Diceros bicornis minor: one gene and its partner. The protein of the gene in region 1 interacts with the protein of each later gene in a pairwise test. Links are inferred from orthologs where the notes say so. Each region holds a gene or a part of one and is shown on either strand. Other genes may lie near its edges.

Region 1 (7,672 bases):
CAGGCTGGGTACCTTTATGAACTTTTTGGGGCTGTTGTTATTGTCATCTCTGTAAATCTTACGGTAACCCTGTGAGATGGCAGGTGGGGCAGCCCACTCTGTAGAGGAGGAAATGGAGGCTCAGAGAGCTTGGGTAACTTGTCCAGGGCCACACAGCTAGGAAGTAGGTGAGTCTTTTTGACCTCAGAGCCTGGGGAGTGTGAGCACAGCTGAGGAGGCCCTGGAGGCCTGTTCGTGAGGGAGCCGCTGCCCTGTGGCACCACCTGTGAGGGCCCGGCCGCGGGGAGCCCCTCTGTGTTGGGATTGCTGCTGAAGAAGGGCAGCGAGCTTCACCAGAGCCGGCGCCGGCTCAGTCACGGACCGTTCCTCAGTGAGCAGTGCCCCAGAGCCTGGGAGGAGGCCCGGCAGCGCGAGTTCTGGCCTCATGGGGTCACCGGAGCCGGGCGGGCGTGTCTGCGGGCCTCACAGAGGCTTCCCTGGGGTGAGGCCCCGGCCTGTGACAGGGACTGCCCTGGTAGCTCCCGAGTGTGGGGAAGGGGAGCCAGGGAGGGGCTGAGGGGGCCGGCCCATGTGCCTCTCGCAGGCGTCCACCGAGCACGGCTCCTGGCCAGGCTCTGTTCTGGGGGCCAGAAACGACTGAGAACAGGCCAGTCCCCCCTTGGGAGTGACGTCCAGTGAGAGGCACTGTGTAAGTCGATGGTCGGGAAGGGCCGCTGAGGGGTCATCCGAAGGCTGGAGGAGGTGTGGGAGGGGCCTGTGGGGTCTGGGGAGAGCGGTCTAGGCAGTGGGAGCAGCATGTGCAAAGGCCCTGAGTGTCTCCTGCGGTTGCATAACCGCTCTGGCTTTCTCGTCTGCTGGACAGGGACTGTCCCGGGAGCCTCGCCTCCCTGGGGCTCTGGGCACCGGCGCTGCTCGGAGCAGGTGCTAGAACGAGGGCGCCCTGTCCTGCTGCCGCTCCCTCCGTCTGCAGCATCTGTGCTTCCACGGAGACAGCGAAGACCTGGGCCCCGCTCGGCAGTGGCTCCGGGTGCTCCCCCGGGCTGGGGACCGCTGCAGCCTGACCCTGCCCCTCCTGCAGGGTGGGCTTGGGCCCGCCCCAGTCCCCCCCTTCCCGCCCTGACCTCGTGCTGCCACGAGCTGCAGCTGGCTGGGCCCGAACCCGGGCCTCTGGGTGAGAACCCTCCCATCGCAGAGGCACCGCCTTGTCCTCGTCCTCTGTGTCCCCTGTGCCTGAGGCTGCAGCGCCACACCCCTGCCTGCAGGACCTCTGGCCAGCGACCCTACAGGCCCCACTTCATGCGGCGGTTCAACAGATCGCTCCCCAGTCCCCAGCCCTTCCCTCCAGGGGGCAGGAGGGCTGTCCCTGCTCCTTCCCTCGGCGCCTCCCGGGGTGGGCCGGGGCTGCCGCCGCCCTTGTGTGCTCAGGGCCCTACCTGGGGCCCAGCTCAGCAGCCGCTGCACCTCCCTCCTGGGCCCTGAGGGCGCGTGCGCCGCAAGCACAGGGCGTGGGGTGACAGCGGGCAGGGAGGGTGCAGTGGAGGGGAACCCCAGGGACTGAAGACTGGGGAGCACACACGGGGTCCCCCACGTTAGTCCCTCAGTTGTGGGGGTGGGGGAGGGACCTCTGCAGCTCCCTGCCCTGGGACTTTTTTTTAATGAATGATTGGGGCCTGTTTATTAGACCCCCATTTAAAACAACTTATTGATGTGAAATTCACATGATGTAAAATTAACCCTTTAAAAGTGAATAGCTCAGCAGCATGTGGTACATTCACAGTATTTTGCCACCACCACCTCTGTCTAGTTCCAGAACATTCCATCACCCCAAAAGAAGACCAGGTCCTCGTTAGCCACTCTCTCCCACCCCCAGCCCCTGGCAACCACCCATTTGCTTTCTGTCTCTCTGGATTTACCTTTTCTGGACATTTCACATAAATACGTGTCTGGCTTCTTTCACCTAGCGTAATTTTCTTTCCCCACCTCACGTATCTTTCACTTAACTTTTTATTTTGAAATAATTATAGAGGCACAGGGAATTGCAAAAATCATATGGAGAGACCTGGGTACTCCCCATAGGCCTTTCAGACATCTCTGGGGTTTGGGGGATTTGGGGGCAGGAAATGGAAGTGAGGACCCATTCTCCCTCGGCAGCCCTGAGCTGGGGCACCCCCACCCCGAGGGCGGGCTTACCTCTGGGAGGGCGCCGGCCGCTCCGCTCCTCTCCTGTCTTCTCCTCTCTTCTCCTCTCCTCTCCTCTCCCTCCTCCGGCCTCGGGCGGGCCTGGGTGCAGGGCCCCTCTCCCGGCTGCCCTCCTGCCGCCCTGAGTCCTCTCCCGGCGGCTGGTCGGGGCCCCCGACGGCGCTGCTCTCCTCTGGGCTCTGGTGCGGTGTCCCGGCAGGGCAGAGGGTAGGGTTTCAGCCCCCCCGCAGCTGGCCACCGCGGAGAGGGGCTGGTTGTATTTTAAGCTGCTGAGTGGTTCAGCAGGAACTCGGGGGCCTGCTCTCCTGGTCGGCTGGTGCTGTCCTCCTGCGGGCCCGTGGGCTCCGAGGGCGTGGGCGCTGCCCGAGGGGACCCAGGAACTATTAGTATACCTGCAGCCACGTGGCAGGCCCTGTGCCCGCCTGGGACCTGCTGTCCCAGCCCTTCCTGGCACATTCCTCGTGTGTCCCTCCCCCTCCCACGAGTCCTCTTGGTGTGGCCAGAACTCCGGGCAGTATGGCCAGCTCTCCCTTTCTGGCTCCTCGTTTGGCTTTGTCATCCCTGTGGCTCGGAGGGTTCAGTCGCCTGCCTCCCAGGCCACATGGCCGGTCAGGGCCCACAGCTGGCGGCGGACGCTCTCTCGCCGGTAACAGTGGGCAGCATCGGCTAGGACTTCTCAGGTGCCGGGCCGTGTCCTGCCCTCCCGTCCACGAATGTGGGGCGGGCGCAGCAGAGACTGGCCCCAGCGGGAGGGTGAGGGTCTGCCCCCGGCCCTGCCCTGCGCTTTGTCGCAGCGCCACGGCCTCCTCAGCCCGTCCTCAGGGCCCGAGGCCTTGGGGCACTTGCACCTGTCAGGCACCACGCCGGTGCCTCGCTCGCACTGTCTCACGGAACCCGACTGCCCTGGGGTCACACGCCTCCCCGCACTGTCCCTGGCTGAGGCTCAGAGAGAAGTGACTGCGTGGCGAGGCTGGCTTCGGGGAGCCCCCCTGTGCTCCCAGCACCCCCTCCTCTCCCACTGTCCCTGGGCGTGTGTGAGGGGAGCCCTTCCCTTCGGGGGGGCTCTGGGCGCCGGGGAAGTGGGCCTGCGCTCAGAGAGCCCTGGTGGGCCCAGCCCTGGTTTTCGTGTCCTGCTCCTCCTCCCCATGCTGCCGCTGACCGAGGGCCCCCCAGGGGCTCTGGGCGTGGGGAGCGTCCTCAGTACCTGCCGGCCAGAGGCTAGCTTGGGGTCAGACCCAGCCTTGCCTGCCACAGCCCCGTGTCTGATAGGATCCAGGCCAAGCCCTGCACGGGGCACTCGGGCCTGCTGTGATCCACCCACGCCCCTCCTCTGACCTGCTTGGGGGCTCCCTCCCTCCCAGCACTGCCCCTCTGCACCCCCACTGTCTGGCCCCTGCCTGGGTGCTCAGGTAGAGAGGCTGGGCAGGCTCCTCTCTCAGGGCCTGGCGCTGGCCTGGCCCGTGGACCCAGGAGGTGCAGGGAGGCCCAGGCTGTGTGCTCTGGGCTTTGAGGAGCTCAGGGTCTGGATGAGGGTGCTGTGTTGGGCTGACACTCGGGAGGATGGCCCTGAAGGTGGCCTGGAGCAAGGCGTGGGTGAGAAATGGGTGGAGAGGGAGGTCGGGAGCAAGTTGCCGAGGCCTCACCAGCTAAGGCGGGCGTGTCTGCTGGAAACTTGCGGGTTCCCGAGCCTTTCCACACTTAGAGTCTCTGTGCACCAGCAACTCCGGAATCTGTCACCTCCCTGGAAACACAAATGCACGAGGAAAGTAATCCCGAGTGGCTTTTACAGCTCAGGAGGGGAAACGGATGCTCTATCTCACAGGTTCTCAGAATAGCTGGGATTTCTCCAAGCCCAGTGAGCTCTGCGGGCCTGAGCTGGACACTCACCAGCTCACCCTCCTCCTGGCACTGGGCCCCCACCCGTGGGCAGCGGGGCTGGGAGGTGCCTTCACCCCCATCTCTGGGCATCTCCCTGTCCCCGGGGCTGTTGGGGGCCGTGTCCACTGGAAAGCCTCACTTTCAGGGCCATCCGGCCCTGGGGGGCTGCCCCAGGCCCCCAGTGGTCTGTGTGTGGTCCTGGGGCCCGGTCTGGGGCAGTTTTATATTTAGCCGTGGCTGCTGGGCCACTGGAGTGGCGTCTGCAGAGCGCCAGGGCAGGCGCGGGCTTTTCTCCAGCACCGCGGCAGAATGTGATTGCGCCAGCCCGGCCCAGAGCCGCTCGCGTGGGGCGGTCCGTGGTGGGGGCTGACGGCCGGCAGCTGGGGCGCTGGCCACGGCCGGCAGAGCGGGGTAGCATGGATCTGAGCATGAGCTTGGTGGCCCGGGAGGCCAGCCAGGGCCTCGGCCCCGGCGTCAATGGCCTCCCCCGGCCCACGCCCCCTAAGGCGGCCAAGAAGCCTAAAAAGGCTGTTCTCTTCTTCGAGGTGGAGATTCTGGACGCGAAGACGCGAGAGAAGCTGTGCTTCCTGGACAAGGTGGGACCGTGGCGCTGGCTGCGCTGGGCCCGGGACCCACTCTTGCTGGGGCTCCTGGCCCCGAGGGAGAGGGGAGTCCCTCCACCCTGGGTCATGACTCCCCACCCCTGCCTCTCAGGGTGCATGAGGGGTACTGTCCCTGCCCAGCCAGTCGGCCCCCAGGGTAGAGTGGGCAGTCCTGGCCCTGGGTGTGGCCGGGAGCTGGCTTCCTCGGGGCCTGGGAAGGAGGAGGCGTCCTGAGACCTGCCCCTGCCGAGGCCAGGCCAGGGGAAGGGGCTTGTTCCGTCCCAGGGGAGGCCTGGCCTGGACAGAGGGCCTTTACTCTGGGGCAGCTGTGGGTGGAGGGGAGAGGCAGAGATGCAGGTCCCGCTTCCCGTGCTCAAACCGTCTCCCAGCCAGGCGGGGCGTCCTGGCTGCCTGGTAAAACCAGGCCCTCAGGCCCACGGCTGTCCCATTCTGGCACGGGCCTTGCTGCTCCTCTCTGCCATGCAGGTGGGGGCCTGGACCCCCACACCCCCCTCCTGTAGCAGCTGCCCTGACCCCAGTCCATGCCCTCCAGGAGGGATCCTGGATCCTGGTGTGGACTCCCCCCAGGGCTGAGGTCCCTGTGGCCTGTGCTTCCCCCAGGTGGAGCCCCAGGCCACCATTGCTGAGATCAAGAACCTTTTCACCAAGAGCCGTAAGTCCAGGGCCCAGCCCACTGCCTCCTGCGACCTCTCTGAGCAGGGGCCTCTGGGTGGAACCGGTCCTGCCCGCCTCTTGCCCAGGGCCTGCAGAGATGGCCCCAGTGTGGCCCGGCTTCCCTGGGACGGGTGCCACCGTGTGGCCATCGGCAGGAATGCCCTTGCTGGGCTTTGGGAAGGGCAGCACCTGCCTTTGTCCTGCTCGTCTGGGCTGTGTCCGGGAGCCACACAGGCCTCACAGGCCTTGTCTTCTGAGGGGCCGGGAGCAGCTGGGGGTCCCTGGGCCCCGCCAGGCTGTGCACGGTGATGCTCCGCTCTCCCCGCAGATCCGCAGTGGTACCCTGCCCGCCAGTCCCTCCGCCTGGACCCCAGTGAGTACAGCTGTCCCTCCACCGCCGCTGGGCCCCCCCCCGGGGGCAGTGGGCGGAGGCCTGGACGCCCCTGAACCCTGGCCTGCCTCTCCACAGAGGGCAAGTCCCTGAAGGACGAGGATGTCCTGCAGAAGCTGCCTGTGGGCACCACGGCCACACTTTACTTCCGGGACCTGGGGGCCCAGATCAGCTGGGTGACGGTGAGTCCCACCCCCGCCCTGGCCTCCTCTGCCATCAGCCACATCAGGGTAACTCCCTGCTCCCCTGCCCCCAGGTCTTCCTGACAGAGTACGCGGGGCCCCTTTTCATCTACCTGCTCTTCTACTTCCGGGTGCCCTTCATCTACGGCCACAGATACGACTTCACGTCCAGCAGGCACACGGTGGTGCAGTGAGTGGGGCCGGGCGGGAGGGCGGCGGCGGCGGGGGGCCTGCTGGACCTCCCCGCTGAGCCGGCTCCCCCTACAGCCTGGCCTGCATCTGCCACTCATTCCACTACGTCAAGCGCCTGTTGGAGACGCTCTTCGTGCACCGCTTCTCCCACGGCACCATGCCCTTGCGCAACATCTTCAAGGTGAGCGCCCGCCCGCCCCCGCCCCCGCCCCCCGCGGCCCTCTGTTGGACCCCAGACACGCCCCCCCAACCCCGCGCACCCGCGGGCCCTCCGCTGGACCTCAGGCCTCCACCTGGCCCTGTTCCCTTTCAGAACTGCACTTACTACTGGGGCTTCGCCGCCTGGATGGCCTATTACATCAACCACCCTCTCTACACGCCCCCCAGTAAGTGGCCTCCGACCCCGCTCACCCCCGCCCCCGCGGGCCTCCCTTCCCCGCCACCGCCTCTCCCTCACGGGCCTCCCCTCCCCTGTGCTTCCCCTTCAGCCTATGGAGCTCAGCAGGTTAAACTAGCGCTCGCCATCTTTGTGGTAAGCGGGCTGGGCCAGATGACGGGTGGGGGGCGTCTGGGGGCTCCCGGCTGACGCTGCTCCTCCGACAGATCTGCCAACTTGGCAACTTCTCCATCCACATGGCCCTGCGCGACCTGCGGCCAGCTGGTGAGTGGCCTGGTGGGGTGGGGGGGTCGGGCTGGGCAGGCCGCGCTGTGGGGGGGCGGGTCTCACCCCTCGCATCCTGCCCGCCAGGGTCCAAGACCAGGAAGATTCCCTACCCCACCAAGAACCCCTTCACGTGGCTCTTCCTGCTGGTGTCCTGCCCCAACTACACCTACGAGGTGAGGGTCTGCCAGCCCTTCCGCCGGCCCCGGGGTCCCCTGTGGAGAGCCCGCCTCTGGTAGGGCACCTGGCTCCGCTGCTGCTTTTGCGCTCTGACCTTGGAGGATCTGGCGATGCAGAGTCTGCAGCTCCCTGGGGGTTGGGGGGCGTCAGGCTCGGCGTACAGCTGTTGGCGGCCGAGGGGCAGCTTCATCACGGACCCCCTTATTCGAGGTCCCTCTAGCACTGGCCTTCGGTTCCCACCCCCACACGGAAAGTAAGGGTTGGGGGAGGCGGCCCAGGGGTGGGCGGGGCCTCGGGAACAGGGGCGCCGCCCGCCCGCCCTCACCCGCGCTCTGCCCGCAGGTGGGGTCCTGGATCGGCTTTGCTATCATGACCCAGTGTCTCCCAGGTGAGCTGGCTGCCCGCCCCCGACGCCCTGCCCGGCTGGCTGCGCGGCCCCCCTGACACCCGCTCTGCCCCACAGTGGCCCTCTTCTCCCTGGTGGGCTTCACGCAGATGACCATCTGGGCCAAGGGCAAGCACTGCAGCTACCTGAAGGAGTTCCGCGACTACCCGCCGCTGCGCATGCCCATCATCCCCTTCCTGCTCTGAGCGCTCTGGTCCCAGTCCCCGAGCCGTCGTCGTGGGGGAGGAGCGGGGCCCCGCCCGCAGCGTCTGCAATAAACCCTGCCCGCCCTCCGGGACTGGACTCAGGCTCCGCGTGTCCTTTCGG
Region 2 (8,031 bases), on another chromosome or scaffold:
GTGATGCGACTGTGAGCCAAGGAATGCCAGCAACTTCTAGAAGCTGGAAGAGGTAAAGAATAGATTCTCGGGGCCGGCCCAGTGGCGCAAGCAGTTAAGCACATGCGCTCTGCTGCGGTGGCCCAGAGTTCACTGGTTCGGATCCCGGGTGCGCACCGACACACTGCTTGTTGGCAAACCATGCTGTGGCAGCATCCCATATAAAGTGGAGGAAGATGGGCATGGATGTTAGCACAAGGCCAGTCTTCCTCAGCAAAAAAAAAAAAAAAAGGACAATTGGCAGATGTTAGCACAGGGCTGATCTCCTCACAAAAACATAAAAATAAAAAATAAAAATAAATAAAAATAAAAAAGAATGGATTCTCCTTTGGAGCCTCCAGAAGGACCAGCCCTGCCAACACCTTGATTTTATTCCTGAAAGAATCATTTTGGACTTCTGATGTACAGAACTGTTAGAGAATAAATTCCTGTTGTTTCAAGCCACTAAATTTATGGTAATTTGTTACAGCGGCAATAGGAAACTAACACATGGGAGTTGATTTTTCTTTTCAGATAATATCTTCAACCTATAACTATATTTAAGAACCTGATTCATTATCACGTCTTAGTTCAAATTTAACTTCTCCAGTTTAGCACTCAAGGCCCAACTATTTATATAAACTCATTTTTATCACCTCACCCTGGTTAGACTTCTGTAGACATGGCTGTGTCCTATTACATTTCTTACCTTTTATCTCCCCTCACTTTAACGACTTTCTACCTTTTGATAACACATCCCTTACTTTCTTTATGATTATGTTCAAGACACTTCTTCGATAAGCTCTTCCTGACTTCTCTCCTCTCACAACAATAACTGCTGCGCAGTCCTCAGATAGGCTGTTTACTTGGATCTCTCTAACCTGCTCAGCGTCCTCAGTTGTTCTTTGAATGTAGCTACTCTCCTCATATGAGACTGTAAGATACTTGGAAGCAGATAATATGCATTCAGTATCTGTTGTTTTAACCTGCTGTATTAGTTTTCTGTGGCTGCTGTAACAAATTATCACAAACTAGGTGGCTTAAAACATATTTGTTCTCTCACCATTCTCAGAAGTCTGAGATCAAGGTATTGACAAGTCTGCACTGCCTCTGGAGGCTCTAAGGGAGAATTCATTTTCTGTATCTTTCACGTTCCAGTGGCTGTCATCATTCCTCGATTCGTGGTGGCATCACTCCAGTCTCTGCCTCCATGGTCGCATTGCCTCCTCCTCTGTGTCTATTTTATAAGGATATATGTGATTGCATTTAGGGCCCATCTGGATAATCCAGTATTATCTTCTCATCTCAAGATCTTTAATTTAAATATATCTGCAAAGACCCTTTTTCCAAATATGGTAACATTCACAGATATTTGACATCAATATCATTAGAGGGAACATTTTTCAGCCTACCATACCTGCCCAATATCCATCCCCTTCTTCTGGTAATAACTCCCTTATTACTTCCTGAGGAACTACATCCCCCTAATTGGGGGGGATGTATAAACTCAAATCAAGCAGTTTAGGTAAAGCCTCCCTCCTCCCACTATAGGTATACAACAAGGACCTGGCCAACCAGCATATTCTATCCCCTTTGGCCACAATGATTGACCACGGGCATGTGACTCAAGCTAGTGCGATTACTTTCCAGGACTTTTGTCAGAACAAATGGGAAGGAGACATGGTTTTTGTTCTGGGACCACTTGATTAAGCAAAAGGAATGTACTGACTTACTTGCTGGGAAAAATAATGAGATAATCCTCAAAATCGAAGGAAAAGCATTAGGTACCAGGCTCAGGGACTAGAACCAAGACTCAGTGCCCCCAAGACACATGCTCCCTCTCATGTCTGCTTGATTTCTTTCTATTAACAATCTCTCTCCAAACGGAAGGCAAGATGTTTGTCTGGAGCCAGGCGCACATCCTCTTATCTTTAACAACCCTGGCAAAAAGACAAACACTACACCCCAGCATCCATATATCAATTTCACAGAAGGACTCTGATGAGCTCTGCTTGCGTCATCATAGTCCTAAGTCTTAAAATAATTACTTTTGCTAGAGAAACCATGATTAATGACTGTGTCATGTTGCCAGGCAACGTGTCAGGCAATGAGGGGGAAAAACACAAACATAAACAACTCAAACAAACCACCACCACCGAGAAAATACCACTATTCCTGTTTTATAAAACTCGTAGTCTAGAGGAGAAAAAACATCACACAAAAAAATATAAAATTACTGTGGTATATGTGATGAGAAAAAGTACATGGAGACCATAGCAGGGAGAATAATCCATTACAGAAGTTCAGGGAAAGTGATAGCAGAATTTAGATCAGAAGGAGGAAGATAGGGATGGAGATTGTTCTAGGCAGAGGCAATAACATGTTCAACGTCCTCATGGCAGAAAGGAGCATTGCTCACTGGAAGACCTAAGATAAAACCAGTATGTCTAGGGAGAGTATTGTGTGACGTGAGACTGAAGTAGGTAGGGGCAAGACCAGGCACATTATTGTAGGCCACGTTAAATATTTTATACTTTATCTTAGGTGTCATTAAAAGCCACTTAAATGTTTCAAGGGGGTGGGGAGAGGGAAGATAGTGGACACGAACAAGTTTGTATTTGTGACTGTACTGTAGAGGACAGATTGGAGTTGGGCCTAAGTGACTGTAAGAAGATACATTGAGTTTTAAATTGATTTCCAACTGACAGAGCTTTATGCATTCCTGCCTCCTACTTTCCCATTAAGTGGTCATATTAAAAAAAAAAAATCATTAAATGAATGAAAAACGCTTTTAGAGGAGTGATTACTTGCTCTGCAAAACCGCTCACTTCTTTATTTCTTTTGTAAATTGTTTTCCCTCTGAATACAGTCTGCAATTTGAGTACACTAACTTGCTCTTTAAAGAAGTAAGGAAAATCAGACAACAGAACCTCTACACAATCTGTGGGGCTGTAGAGGATGAGACCCTGACAGTTGTTTAGTTGCTGTCTCAATCTGTAGATGTCTCATGGCTCTAAATACCATCACCACCCTGATGACTCTCAAATTTATCTCTAGTCCACACTTCTTCCCTGAACTTCAGTGTCTAAATCTAATTGTCTATTCAACTTTTCTACTTGGATGTCTAACAAAGATTTCAAACTCAACAAGTAAAAAACAAAATTGCTGATTTCTGTCTTCAAAATCGCTTCTTCTAGGGCGCCAGTCTGGTGGTGTAGCAGTTAAGTTCACGTGCTTCACTTTTGGCAGCCCAGGGTTTGCAGGTTCAGATGCCTGCCACAGACCTGTACACCTCTTATCAAGCCATGCTGTGGCAGGCGTCCCACGTATAAAATAATGGAAGATGGGCACAAATGTTAGCTCAGGGCCAATGTTCCTCAGGAAAAAGAGGAGGACTGGCCAGGGAGGTTAGCTCAGCGTTAATTTTCCTCACTAAAAAAAAAAAAATCACTTCTACAATTCAATTTTTCCAACTTGCTCACAATGTCTCCTTTACCTCATACTCCACATCTAATACATCCACAAATCTTATCAGCTCTACTCCTAAAATATGTCCAGAATTCAATTGTTTTCACCACCTCAAGCAAGACCACTCCGGCCCAGACCACTATCACTACAGCCTGGATTATTGCAATAACTTCCTGATATCAGTTTTCCACAACTAATACATATTTATTTTCTTCTGGCTCCCTCTATATAATCTCTGGGAGACGGAGGACTTGTCTCTTTCATTTGGCGCCAAGAACTCCAGGGCAAGCTTGCAGACGTCCCATAAATACTTGATGGAATGAATAAATAAATATTTTATACCACCACATATACAGTAATTCATTTAAGGAAATGTTTGTGTGAAAATCGACGGTAAGGGACTTTTACAGAAACTCCTAGAACAAAAAAAAACAGTGAATGGAAAATAGGGTCAGCTGGTTAAAGCAGTTTCCACAGGCAGACAGGTTTTCCCCGTAAGCCAAAATCTCTCTATTTTTGGCCACTGTGGGTGGAAAACTTCTTGCTCCACTCGGCACCTCACCCTCAGCCGACTGCCTAATAACCTCACCCTGGTCCTGCCTGCTGGACGGGGGAGCCCACGAGGCCTCGGGCTGGAAGATGCCCTTGAGCACCCTCCAGGCCTCACGGATGACACTGGATCCTAGGCACACAGGCGACTTTAATCGGACAGTAAAAGGGGCAAACTTCTCGTTGACCTTCTCCACTCTACTACTAACTTAAAATCTAAATGCATAAATGCAGGGACGAAACCTTTGGAGACTGAACCTTCAACCTGGCCACTGGTTAAGGAGCAGAGCGCACAAAGCAGAAGGGCTATTCCCGGCCGGCCTCTGGGGTTGACGAGAAGCGAAGTCGTCAATTGCCCTGACGCAAAATAGCAGATCACGTGTATAGGGGTGAAGATAGGGCCATTGGGAGAAGCCAAGATGAGAAGCGAGAACGAAAGCATCATTTTCTTGATCCAACATGGAGGCGGAGGTTACAGGAGAGAGAATGGCCAGGGACGACGAAGCATCCACTTGGCAGAAACAGCAGGCCTGGCGAAGAAAGCCAAAGGCGACACTGACCTAATCCAAGATGGCGCCAGAGGTTATTACCGGGAGCGCAAAAGAGGCGATGATGACCCCGATCCAAGATGGCGGTGGCGTGTGAGGCGCGCCGAGGGGCGGGAAGCGACAGGAGCGCCTTTGCCCTCCTCCAAGATGGCGGCCGCCGTGGGCGCTGTCCCTGGCTCCGCCCCGCGGCCGCGGCCCCGCCTTCCCCCGTTCTCCTTTCGCCGCCTCGCAGCGCCGTGTCCGAGCGGTGATGCTCGCGCGGGGAGAGCGGGCTCCGGACGCTTGACATGGCGGCAGGGGCGGCGACTGCAGCAGCGAAGGGGAATGGGGGCGGCGGAGGCCGGGCCGGGGCCGGCGAAGCTGGCGGCGCGCGGAAGAAGAAAGGCCCAGGGCCTCTGGCCACGGCGTACCTAGTCATCTACAATGTGGTGATGACGGCGGGGTGAGGCTGGGGCTCGGGGAGGGGGCTCTGCGGCCGGCGGGGCGGCCCGGCCCGGCCCGCGTGCAGCGCATCCCTGCCGGGGCGTGTGCGGGACCCGGCACCCGGGCGCTGCGGGCAGCGAGCGCTGAATCGGCCCCGGTGCCTGCCCAGGACGCCTGCCTGCGCGGGTGGCCGAGCAAGTTCACAGGCGCGGGCGTGCGCCGAGCTGGAGTCGGGGGCTCCGGGGGGCACGGGGAAGGCGGCCCGGGCGCTGGTCTGGAGGGCCTTGGGAGGGCGGCTGGGCTGGCCACAGGGCCAGGTTTGGGGGCCGGGCGATCCTGCAGCGCAGAGGAGAGCCCAGGCGGCGTGTCACGCATGGCGAGCTCTTCCCCCAAGGGGAGTGGAGGAAGCTGTGGCTGCAGAGTGACCATTTGTTTAGGCGGCTGTTTTCAAAAGCCAGGTTGAACTTTAATCTGGAAGGTAATGGAAAAACGTTCAAAGTTTTTGACCAGTGACGTGAGCAGGGCTGTGCTTTAGATGAGTTTAGACTTTTTAGGATGGATTGGGGTGAAGAAGATACTGGGGGTGGAAGGCAGAGTTACTGGGGAGCAGGGAAATAGACCCTCGAAACGGGTTTTACCCCCTCTTGTTCCCCCTCATTGCCCTTCATCCTTTGTCACAGAGGGTTTTTAGTTCTAGTTTTAACACTAACTAGCTGTGTGACCTTGGATAAATCACTTTATTTTTCATGGTCTCCGTTTTTTCATCTGTAAAACTAAGGAGTTTGGGTTAGGTGATCTCTAAGCTTCTTCCGGTTCTTTGAGCCCATGGTTTTGGTGAGGAGGACCACAGAATCAGACTATTTGTTATGTATTTTTGAATGACATTCATTTGTAAAAAAAAATTAGCCCTACAATTTTATTATGAAAATTTTTAAACATGCAGAAAAGTCGAAAGAACTGTATAGTGGGCATCTGTTTTATTTTTTTTTTTTATTTTTTTTTTTTTTTGTGAGGAAGATCAGCCCTGTGCTAACATTCGCCAATCCTCCTCTTTTTTTGCTGAGGAAGACGGCCCTGGTAACATCTGTGCCCATCTTCCTCCACTTTTTACATGGGACGCCGCCACAGCATGGCTTGCCAAGCAGTGCGTCGGTGCGCACCCGGGATCCGAACCAGCGAACCCCGGGCCGCCGCAGCGGAGCGCGCGCACTTAACCGCTTGCGCCACCGGGCCGGCCCCATGTTTTATTTTTTAAATAGGTACTTCATTGGCAGGCTGCAAAATTCAAAATATACACAAAAATGTACAGTGAAACTCTCCTCTCACCCTTCCCTTCCACCCAGATCCCCTCCATGGGGGCACTCATTTTGTGTATCCTTCAGATGCTGATACAAGCAAATATATACATTCCCCCACCCCCTCCCCTTTTTTTAAAACACAAATGCTAATGTCATACTAGCGTTTCAGCACCTTGTTTTTTCACAAAAAAATATCTTAGGAGGATCATAGGCTTTATTGCTAGTATTAGAAATGGCGGGTGTTGAAACCTAGGCTCAGAGAAGTTGTGACCTGCTTGATGTCACAGAAAGTACAGTAGGCCCCCCTTATCCTCAAGGAATACGTTCCAGGTCCCCCAGTGGGTGCCTGAAACCACAGATAGTACCAAACCCTATATGTTACTGTTTTTCCCCATACATTATATCTATGATAAAGTTAAATTCATAAATTAGGCATGATAAAAGATTAACAATGACTAATAATAAAGTAGAACAATTATAACAATATATTGTAATAAAAGTTACTGTAGACCTTAGCAACGTCAGCATACGATTTTTTTCTTTCCTCATTAAGTCAAGAACTCTCACCTTTTCACTTAAAGGAAGCACTTTATGGCTCCTCTTTAGCGTTTCCGAATTGCCAGCTTCACTGCTGTTGCACTTTGGGGCCATTATTAAGTGAAATAGGGTTACCTGAACACAAGCACTGCAGTACCACTACAGTGGATCTGATAACCCAGAGGGTACTAAGTGACTAAGGGGCCGGTACATGCGTGTATCCGCTGGACAAAGGGAAGATTCACGTCCTTGGGGGACACGGAGCAGGACCACGAGAGATTTCATCAGGCTACTCAGAACGGCACAGGATTTAAAACTTATGAATTGTTTATTTCTGGAATTTTCCATTTAATATTTTCAAACTGAGATTGACCACAGGTAACGGAAACTGTGGAAAAGAAACGGAGGATAAGGGGGGAACTACTACTATAGGAGATCTGGATCTAGAACCTTTTTCTCTTGACTCACAGGCCAGTGAAGATATGTATTACAGATGCAAGTTTCTTTATCACATAAATGGTCACAGAGTGATTTTTTAAAAGAACATTCAGGAGTGTGTGTATTTATACTTATACATAAAATTCTTAGCTCAGCAAGGGTGTTGATGAGACTATTGGACTGGAAAGAGGTGTTAAGTTACACTGGGGAAGAAGGAAAAAGGTCTTTATTCCTGGGTGATGAACATAGAGAGTGGGGTGGAGGTATCTGAAACCAGGAAGAGAAATTGGGATTGTGAGAGTAAAGTAAGCTTTTTTGTAGGCTGCTAATTCTGGACCAGTTACACCATTAAGGAATCATTTCTCTTTTAATAAACATTTATTTGATGTCCTTAGATGATAGTTTCTACAAATAACATAGACCACCTACCCCATTACCTAGTTGAGATTGTACATTTATGTAAATCGATCGCTGCTTTCAAGGAGAGATACCTTAATAATAAAGGTCCATTCGTTTCATTATGGAACTTAACAAATAAAAAATTACAGGGCCTGAGAAATTTATTTTTGAGAGGGACATAGAACAGAAATATAATGTTCACTGTGATATGCCTAAGTGCTTCCCTGTTTTGTATTTTGTATTGGTCTGACTTTCTTTACTGAATTGATTTTTGAAACTTAGCTAAAAAAAAAAAAACTTTTATTCTTATTTCACTTATAATTTTAAAAGGATAGGTGTTAAGGTATGGGTAT

Evidence for each region.
Region 2: the proteins of TECR (region 1) and HACD2 interact in binary tests that used the Homo sapiens proteins (3 or more experiments, as listed by UniProt). The link is inferred for Diceros bicornis minor from reciprocal best matches to the Homo sapiens genes TECR and HACD2.

The regions. Positions count from the first base shown.
Region 1 is NC_080769.1:3,349,310-3,356,981, reverse strand, and holds TECR (very-long-chain enoyl-CoA reductase), read left to right. Parts: upstream 1-4,478; 5' UTR 4,479-4,493; coding exon 4,494-4,673; intron 4,674-5,300; coding exon 5,301-5,352; intron 5,353-5,682; coding exon 5,683-5,727; intron 5,728-5,823; coding exon 5,824-5,927; intron 5,928-6,001; coding exon 6,002-6,117; intron 6,118-6,194; coding exon 6,195-6,300; intron 6,301-6,432; coding exon 6,433-6,505; intron 6,506-6,607; coding exon 6,608-6,651; intron 6,652-6,722; coding exon 6,723-6,780; intron 6,781-6,867; coding exon 6,868-6,956; intron 6,957-7,302; coding exon 7,303-7,348; intron 7,349-7,423; coding exon 7,424-7,551; 3' UTR 7,552-7,648; downstream 7,649-7,672. UniProt on the Homo sapiens protein: Involved in both the production of very long-chain fatty acids for sphingolipid synthesis and the degradation of the sphingosine moiety in sphingolipids through the sphingosine 1-phosphate metabolic pathway.
Region 2 is NC_080754.1:24,640,560-24,648,590, reverse strand, and holds the start of HACD2 (very-long-chain (3R)-3-hydroxyacyl-CoA dehydratase 2), read left to right. Parts: upstream 1-4,838; 5' UTR 4,839-4,870; coding exon 4,871-5,025; intron 5,026-8,031. UniProt on the Homo sapiens protein: Catalyzes the third of the very long-chain fatty acids (VLCFA) elongation four-step cycle (condensation, reduction, dehydration, and reduction).